Linked DNA regions of Saccharomyces cerevisiae S288C. The protein of the gene in region 2 interacts with the protein of the main gene of each other region in a pairwise test. Each region holds a gene or a part of one and is shown on either strand. Other genes may lie near its edges.

Region 1 (3,806 bases), on a different chromosome or scaffold from region 2:
ACTCCATCCATTACATGACCAGGGAAGCGCCCAAATCGATCATTGAACTGGAACACTATGGTGTTCCTTTTTCAAGAACTGAAAACGGTAAGATCTACCAAAGAGCCTTTGGTGGTCAGACCAAGGAGTACGGTAAGGGTGCTCAGGCCTATAGAACATGCGCTGTCGCAGACAGGACAGGACATGCTCTTTTACACACGCTTTATGGCCAAGCTTTAAGACATGACACACATTTCTTTATTGAGTACTTTGCCCTCGATCTGTTGACCCATAATGGCGAGGTCGTTGGTGTCATCGCTTATAATCAGGAAGACGGTACCATCCACAGATTCAGAGCACACAAGACCATTATTGCCACTGGTGGCTATGGTAGAGCATACTTCTCTTGTACCTCTGCTCACACATGTACGGGTGACGGTAATGCCATGGTTTCGCGTGCTGGTTTCCCCTTGCAAGATTTAGAGTTTGTTCAATTCCATCCTTCAGGTATATATGGGTCTGGTTGCTTAATCACTGAAGGTGCTCGTGGTGAAGGTGGTTTTTTGGTTAATTCTGAAGGTGAAAGATTCATGGAACGTTACGCTCCTACGGCCAAGGATCTAGCTTGTAGAGATGTCGTTTCCAGAGCAATCACCATGGAGATCAGAGAAGGCAGAGGTGTTGGTAAGAAAAAGGACCACATGTACTTACAATTGAGCCATCTACCTCCGGAAGTTCTAAAGGAAAGATTGCCAGGTATCTCTGAAACAGCAGCCATTTTTGCTGGTGTAGACGTCACCAAGGAACCTATTCCCATTATTCCTACCGTCCACTATAACATGGGTGGTATTCCCACGAAGTGGAATGGTGAGGCATTAACCATTGATGAAGAAACTGGCGAAGACAAGGTTATTCCCGGTTTAATGGCTTGTGGTGAAGCCGCTTGTGTTTCTGTCCATGGTGCCAATAGATTAGGTGCCAATTCCTTGTTGGATCTTGTTGTCTTTGGTCGTGCTGTTGCCCATACGGTTGCTGACACTTTACAGCCTGGGTTGCCACACAAACCACTACCTTCTGATTTGGGTAAAGAATCCATCGCAAACTTGGATAAACTAAGAAATGCTAATGGTTCAAGATCTACGGCAGAAATTAGAATGAATATGAAACAAACTATGCAAAAGGATGTTTCCGTCTTTAGAACACAATCATCTTTAGATGAAGGTGTTCGGAACATTACTGCAGTAGAGAAGACCTTTGATGATGTGAAGACGACCGATAGATCAATGATCTGGAATTCTGACTTGGTTGAAACTCTGGAGCTACAGAACTTATTAACCTGTGCCTCCCAAACAGCTGTTTCCGCTGCTAATAGAAAGGAATCCCGTGGTGCTCATGCAAGAGAGGATTATCCAAATAGAGATGACGAACATTGGATGAAGCATACATTATCCTGGCAAAAGGACGTCGCTGCCCCAGTGACTTTGAAATACAGAAGGGTTATCGATCACACTTTGGACGAAAAGGAATGTCCTTCCGTACCTCCAACTGTAAGAGCCTACTAATTTGAACCTCATTGTATTTTACGGAAAAGAATATCATACTCTTCTTTAATTGCACTTTTTTTGTGCGTTTGCACTTTTTTACCACTGACTCACTAATTTGTATATATACCTATTAATATACATTTACATAAAGTTTCTTCTTATACATACTCTATTTATTTAGTTATTTATTAACTTACTATTTATTTATTTATTTATTTATTTATTTATTACTTTCAATTTTTTATCGAGGCATTTCCTTAGTTCTCCAATTTTTTTTCTCATTAGCCAGATGTGTGTTTTTCTGGCCCTCACAAAAAATGAGCAGGAGAAAGTCATATGGCGAACGTAAATATGTAACTAAAAATTAAGATGGGCAGACATTTATCATTTTGCTTATGACTAAATTGCGAATTGCTGTACAAGGGTGCTGTCATGGTCAGCTAAACCAAATTTATAAAGAAGTGTCACGAATCCATGCGAAGACTCCCATCGATCTATTAATTATTCTTGGAGATTTTCAAAGTATTCGTGATGGTCAGGATTTTAAGTCAATAGCCATACCACCAAAATATCAAAGACTCGGTGATTTCATATCATACTACAATAATGAGATTGAAGCCCCAGTCCCTACTATTTTTATTGGCGGTAATCATGAATCGATGAGACATTTAATGCTTCTGCCACATGGTGGTTATGTAGCAAAGAACATTTTTTATATGGGATACTCTAACGTTATATGGTTTAAAGGCATAAGGATAGGTTCATTGAGCGGGATATGGAAAGAGTGGGATTTCAATAAGCAACGACCAGATTGGAATGACCTAGAAAATAACAATTGGAAAGCTAACATAAGAAATCTGTATCATGTAAGAATTTCTGATATTGCTCCTCTTTTTATGATCAAGCATCGTATTGATATTATGCTGAGCCACGATTGGCCCAATGGAGTCGTTTATCATGGCGATACTAAGCACTTGTTGAAGCTTAAGCCTTTTTTTGAGCAAGATATTAAAGAGGGAAAACTAGGCAGCCCAGTGACCTGGCAACTACTAAGAGATTTGCGGCCTCAATGGTGGTTGAGCGCCCATTTGCATGTCAGGTTCATGGCCTCCATTAAGCATAATAAAAGAAGCCACGAACCGCCTAATAAGTCAACTTCAAAGACAAAAAAAAACAATAATGAAATAGATTTGGATTTATCCAGTGACGAGGACGAAAGGTCTGGTATTATGAATTGCCAAGAAGAGAATGAGTATGATTCCAAATACGGCGAGACACGGTTCTTGGCGTTGGACAAGTGCCTGCCAAGAAGACGTTGGTTAGAAATTCTGGAAATAGAACCGGATACATCGCATGCTTCGTGGAAGGACGAGAATCACCGTATGTTCTGGGATCCTGAATTTATCAATAATTTGGTAATTTGTCAAAAAAATAAGAATCTCCTAAGCAATAAACCGTTTAATAGCGTCAATTGGATAGAACTGTCTCAATCTAATAGAGAGGAAGGAAGGGATATTGATTGGGAAAATTATGCCATTCCTGCATACACCTTAGATATTCAGAAAGATGAAGTACGACAAACTAAAGCATTTATCTCTAAATTCATGACTTGAGAGATATTTCTATTACGAATGCAGACGGAATTAGAGCTTAAAGCCAAGCCTTCTTGAGAGAATTTTTAGTCATACACATGAATATATATATATTTTTTATATATTTACTAATTTGAACGATCCGAAATTAAAAAAAATATCAATTACTTTCCTCCATGCTTAAAATTTGAAAACTTGGTCCTTGGAGTAGCCCAAATTGTTCAAGATACCGATCAATTCACCTTGGTCCTTAGGTGACTTCTTCTCACCTGAGTAAGCGTTCATAAATGGTGGGGGACCGCAGACAAACAAATGTGTGCTTTCCTTTGGACCTGGAACATGCTCCTGAATAAAATCTTTGGAGATGAAACTAATTTCACCATCAAAGTCTTGGTCATCTTGCTTGTCGTCAACAAAGTAAGTAACATTGAACTTGTCAGGATACTTTTCCTTCAACGCATCCAGTTCCTTCCTTAGTAAAATGTCCTGAGGAGTCTTGTTCCCATATAGCAAGTTAACTTTGGTCTTGTCGTTTGGGTTTTCAACTATATGATGAGCTAATTGGTACAGAGGGTTGATACCGGTACCGGCACCTAACAAGGTGATTGACTTGAACTGATTAGGTTGCCACTTCCATTTCATAATAGGACCCTTGAAAGAAACGGTGTCATTTGGTTTAAGACCAAATAAA
Region 2 (4,340 bases):
TTAACAGTTTTTCAGCCTTTTTCTTCTCTTTTTCAATTTCCTTAGGAGTCTTTGGAGAGCCATCTTCCTTTAACGGATTAATGATGACCTCACCAGTCTTTGGGTCAACTGGAGGCAAATTATCAAGATCGCTCATTTTAAAGAACCTGACTTGATTATGAGTTAACGACTTCTTCAGAGAAAAGTTTTGACAAAGTGGTAATGATCGCCTATAATGACAGTTCAAAAGCCGAAAAGTGAATGTCTTAGATAATGTGTTTAACCACTTATTCATACCATCTAAGTAATTCCATAAATCTGAAGGACATACAACAACGATGACAGCCAGTGGTAGCACACACAGAGAACACCAGTAGGCTGTATGGGTGACTCTTCTAAAAAAATTTTTTCAGCGCGGTCTCTCGAAGAACTTTACCCGGTTTTTCTTTTAATTCATCACCTCTGAGTTGCTAGGTCTCTTAAACGTTCAGAGGTAGCATGACTTAGTATTCTACATATATATACATATATTTGGATATATTTGAAATTCTAAATGAAATAGTTTTAGTTTAGTTTTCTGTGAGAGAAATGTCATAGGTCCTGTAGGCCTTTTGAAACTTTTCAGCCTCTATAGTCTCTTGTTGCTTAGTTTGTAAACAGGTTGAAGAATTCCATTTCACCCTGCGTGGCAAGTTAAGTAAAAAGGCTAGTACACGTCGTCCAAACTGCAGATCTATTGTCTCACTGGCATTAAATGTGGCCAAATATATCTTTGGGTCCGCTTCAGGAGTCTCGTAGACGGTAAATTGTAAATAATTATTGGATTGGTTGTTAATTACATCCACATATTGTTTGGAAGAGTGTGAATCGTAACATTGGAACTCTAGCTTAGCATTTCTTGTGAATTTTTCGTTATTGAAATGAACCTGTCTATCTAAGGCACTGCAGAACTTTAGAACGAGGTATTTTGGAACGGGAATAACTTGTTTGTGGAAATGAATAGAACGTTCAGACTGTATTTCGAAGACAATCGTGCACATATCAAATTTTATGTAGTTCATCTTCACAAGACTAGCTTCATAAGCCAAAATACTCTGTGTCAACTCTGCGTTCTTGCTTGGATCTAATTTCGGAATATGTTCAATGGGAATAATGAGGCAATGGCCTGAGATATCCATATCACCCTTAGGAACACTTAAAGGTCCCTTCGCTGTGGTTAAATACACTAGTTTGCCGATTGATATTATCATATGATCCTCGAGGTTTGGATTTGAAAAGCAGAAATGACAACTTGACGGCAAAATCGTTCGAATTTTTTTATTTTCATTCTTTTCTCTATTAGCAAGTACCTGTTTGTCTCCATCGAACGAATTCTCTGTTTCTGTTTCTAGTGGCCTTTTATTGCTGTTTGTAACCACGCTATTATACGGGTTAGCTATCAAGTTGGGCGGTTCAGGTTCATCCTTTAGTTCGTTGTCCCCTATTGGCATATTGAATGCATAGGCCCATTTCTTTCCAGATCCATATTTTGGAATATTGAGGAACCTCGATAAGCGCTCTCTTTCCCACTGGAAAGGCTCTAATTCGTAAAAGTTTATTTCATCTGAAAAGGCAAAATGGTACCTTGCTTGTAACTTTTTCGCCAATTCATCAACAACTTCACTTCCAGACAACCTTCCACATCTCTCAGAGATCGAAAGGCCCCATTCTTTTGTAAGGAGAATGTCTACCTGATCCTCACTTTTGCCAAATTCGTCCAGTATGCTTTTTTTCTCCCCTTGAAGAGTATCATCCGGATAAATAAAATATGAAAGAGTGATTCCATTTGCTAATTTATAAGTACCCATATTATGCAGCAATGTTACATTTTCATTTATCTTTTTGGATTTCGAATTGTTAGCCTTATCACACGATAGTAGTATTAGTTGAGGTAACCCATCAGTATTCAGCTCAAAATTTTCATCATACGAGTTACTGAATATAATTATTAGATCAAAGGGCCCTGATTTTTCATTCACTTTCTTGATCTTTCTGATAGCCTCATCGGCATCGCTTTCACTTATATGAGCTACTAAAATCTTTGCATTTGTCATCCTATTTTTATATGTAAGTTTTTGAAGTGAAAAAGATATCAGTAAACCATAAGCCCTTTTTTATATATTATGGATCCTTCTAAGAGAGCTACCTTGCGTTTTTTGTACATCTAGCAATGTAGTATCAGTCCAATTTGTAATTATCATTGAAAAAACAATTGATGTTAACACCCATTCCTTTTCATTTTTTGCAGATTTTCGATTAATAGTGGTCATTGCTGTTTTCCTGTAAAACATTACCAAGTTTCGCCGCTCCCAACATGAATGCTTAAGTTTAGTTCAAAACGGTCATGGGATGGACCGTTACCGTGAACTGAGATTTTAAACAATGGGCTTGAAGTCCTAAGTAATGCACAACTATATATATATATATGTATATTTATGAAAAAAGCGTTCATAGGTGCTAGTTGAAAAGTTTGCATGAAGCTCGTTAAAGCTAATTATATCGCGGCGAATGCAAGACAAGAATTCATTTTTACGCTAGTAAAAGGTTGAAAAGGGGTCTGAGTGTTCCAGTCCGTTGAATAAGATGCCACTGGAACCCTGTTTACCATTTCTATGTCGGAAAGTGAACCCAACAAGTTTTGATGATACTGCCGAGTCATCTACCATAGCCGTTAATTTGTCTTGTCTTTTGAAAACATCAGCATATTTGGCCATGTCAGCCTCACTGGTGAAGTCATCAAAATAACCGGCATCAGTTTCGCTGTCTAGTTGGGGTGTAAAAGGCGGGATCATTGACCTCAAAGTACTAAAGTTTATATCTGCAAAATAAGACATGCGTTTAACATGTTCGAAGGATCTTAATCGATTGATTGGATCGGCAATCAATCTTGTTATTAAATCCCAAGTTCTATCGGAGAATGCTGCCCTCCCATCAGATTGTCTCGGTCTTCTTAAAGTTTGTTTCCAGCGCCTTAAGTTGTCATAGGTCTCATTAGTCGATGATCCACTAAATGGTGTATAACCAACTAAACTTTCGAACAGCATACAACCCAACGACCAGTAATCCACAGTAAAGTCATATTTCTTTCCTTCTAAAACCTCCAAAGCCATATAATCCGGAGACCCAACCATGGAGTTCGCATAATTAATTTCCTTCTCCCTCAACTGGTTGTACATTTTTCTTCTATCTTCTATAGATTTCTCTGTAAACGCTGGAAATTCCAGGTCCTTGATTTTTTCTAACCTTATCTTCATACTTTCAATTCTTTCATTAGAAATCGTACCAGCAGCCAAACCAAAATCTGTTAATTTTATATGTCCCTTGGCATCGATTAAGAAGTTTTCCGGCTTTAAATCTCTATGTGTATAGCCTAAATCATGTAACGCATTAACAGCGCAAAACATTTCACTGATGTAAAATCTCGCATGGCCACTTTTCAAGCATCTAGTATTTATTAATAATGTACGAAAATCACCGCCTGGTACAAATTCCATAGCCAGGTATAAACTTTGTAGGTCTTGGAATGCATACAGAAGTTTTACTAACCATTCAGACCTTGTCGTGGTTAGGATATCTCTTTCAGTTAAAACGTGTTTTGTCTCGTTGAGCTTAAACAATAGTTTTTTGTTCAAAATTTTCAAAGCACACACCTCTTTTGTGTCTTTCTTTCTGGCTAAATAAACTTGCCCATAACCACCTTGACCTACTTGTGTGATCATTTCAAAATCCCTATTTTTTGGTTTCAACCTTCTTTTTCTCAAAACCTGATGTTCCCTTTGTAAGTAAGAGGACCACTCTTCGTTGAGTTTAATCTGGTCAGAATTCGGAAGTTGGCTTTGCTGTTGCAGGTATTCTAGAACTTGCTTCGTGCGTTGTCTTCTACTAATTACATAGTCAAACATATCACAGTAATGTTCTAGAAAGTACATTTTGCAAACACTAACAACTCTCTGTGTTTTATTTGAAGTTGCTCTTTCGTAAAACTTTGGTGGAAGCTTCTTGGGAGAGTTCGAGACATCCATATCAGGTTGAGATACTTCGTCTATGTCCATGTTGGAAGTATCTTCGTAAGGAAAAAAGGATGGTTTTACCGGCGAAGGTGAATCATTGATACCCGCAGGCCTTGTCCTCCTCTTTGTTATATTTTGGTTAGGAAATAGTCCAGTGCCCCCAGGAGTCCCATGCCCATCGAAACTCAAATTGCTCATATTGCCTGCCAAGAGGTCGACATTTTTTTCTGATTTTGATAGCATATTAAAGAATTTTTCTTTAGCAAGGAATACTGTAGATGTTGCTTGAATTTTTCTGGTATATTAGTTTCT

Evidence for each region.
Region 1: the proteins of DRN1 (region 2) and DBR1 interact in a two-hybrid assay, tested with the Saccharomyces cerevisiae proteins (one study listed by BioGRID).

What each region holds. Positions count from the first base shown.
Region 1 is NC_001143.9:166,942-170,747, reverse strand, and holds DBR1 (RNA lariat debranching enzyme), read left to right. Parts: upstream 1-1,918; coding exon 1,919-3,136; downstream 3,137-3,806. Other genes in the region: succinate dehydrogenase flavoprotein subunit SDH1, read left to right, coding at 1-1,541; MCR1 (cytochrome-b5 reductase), read right to left, coding at 3,296-3,806. UniProt on the Saccharomyces cerevisiae protein: Cleaves the 2'-5' phosphodiester linkage at the branch point of lariat intron pre-mRNAs after splicing and converts them into linear molecules that are subsequently degraded, thereby facilitating ribonucleotide turnover.
Region 2 is NC_001139.9:668,120-672,459, reverse strand, and holds DRN1 (Drn1p), read right to left. Parts: upstream 2,073-4,340; coding exon 549-2,072; downstream 1-548. Other genes in the region: VAS1 (valine--tRNA ligase), read right to left, coding at 1-274; serine/threonine-protein kinase DBF2, read right to left, coding at 2,553-4,271. UniProt on the Saccharomyces cerevisiae protein: Involved in branched RNA metabolism, modulating the turnover of lariat-intron pre-mRNAs by the lariat-debranching enzyme DBR1. Enhances the debranching activity of DBR1 in vitro.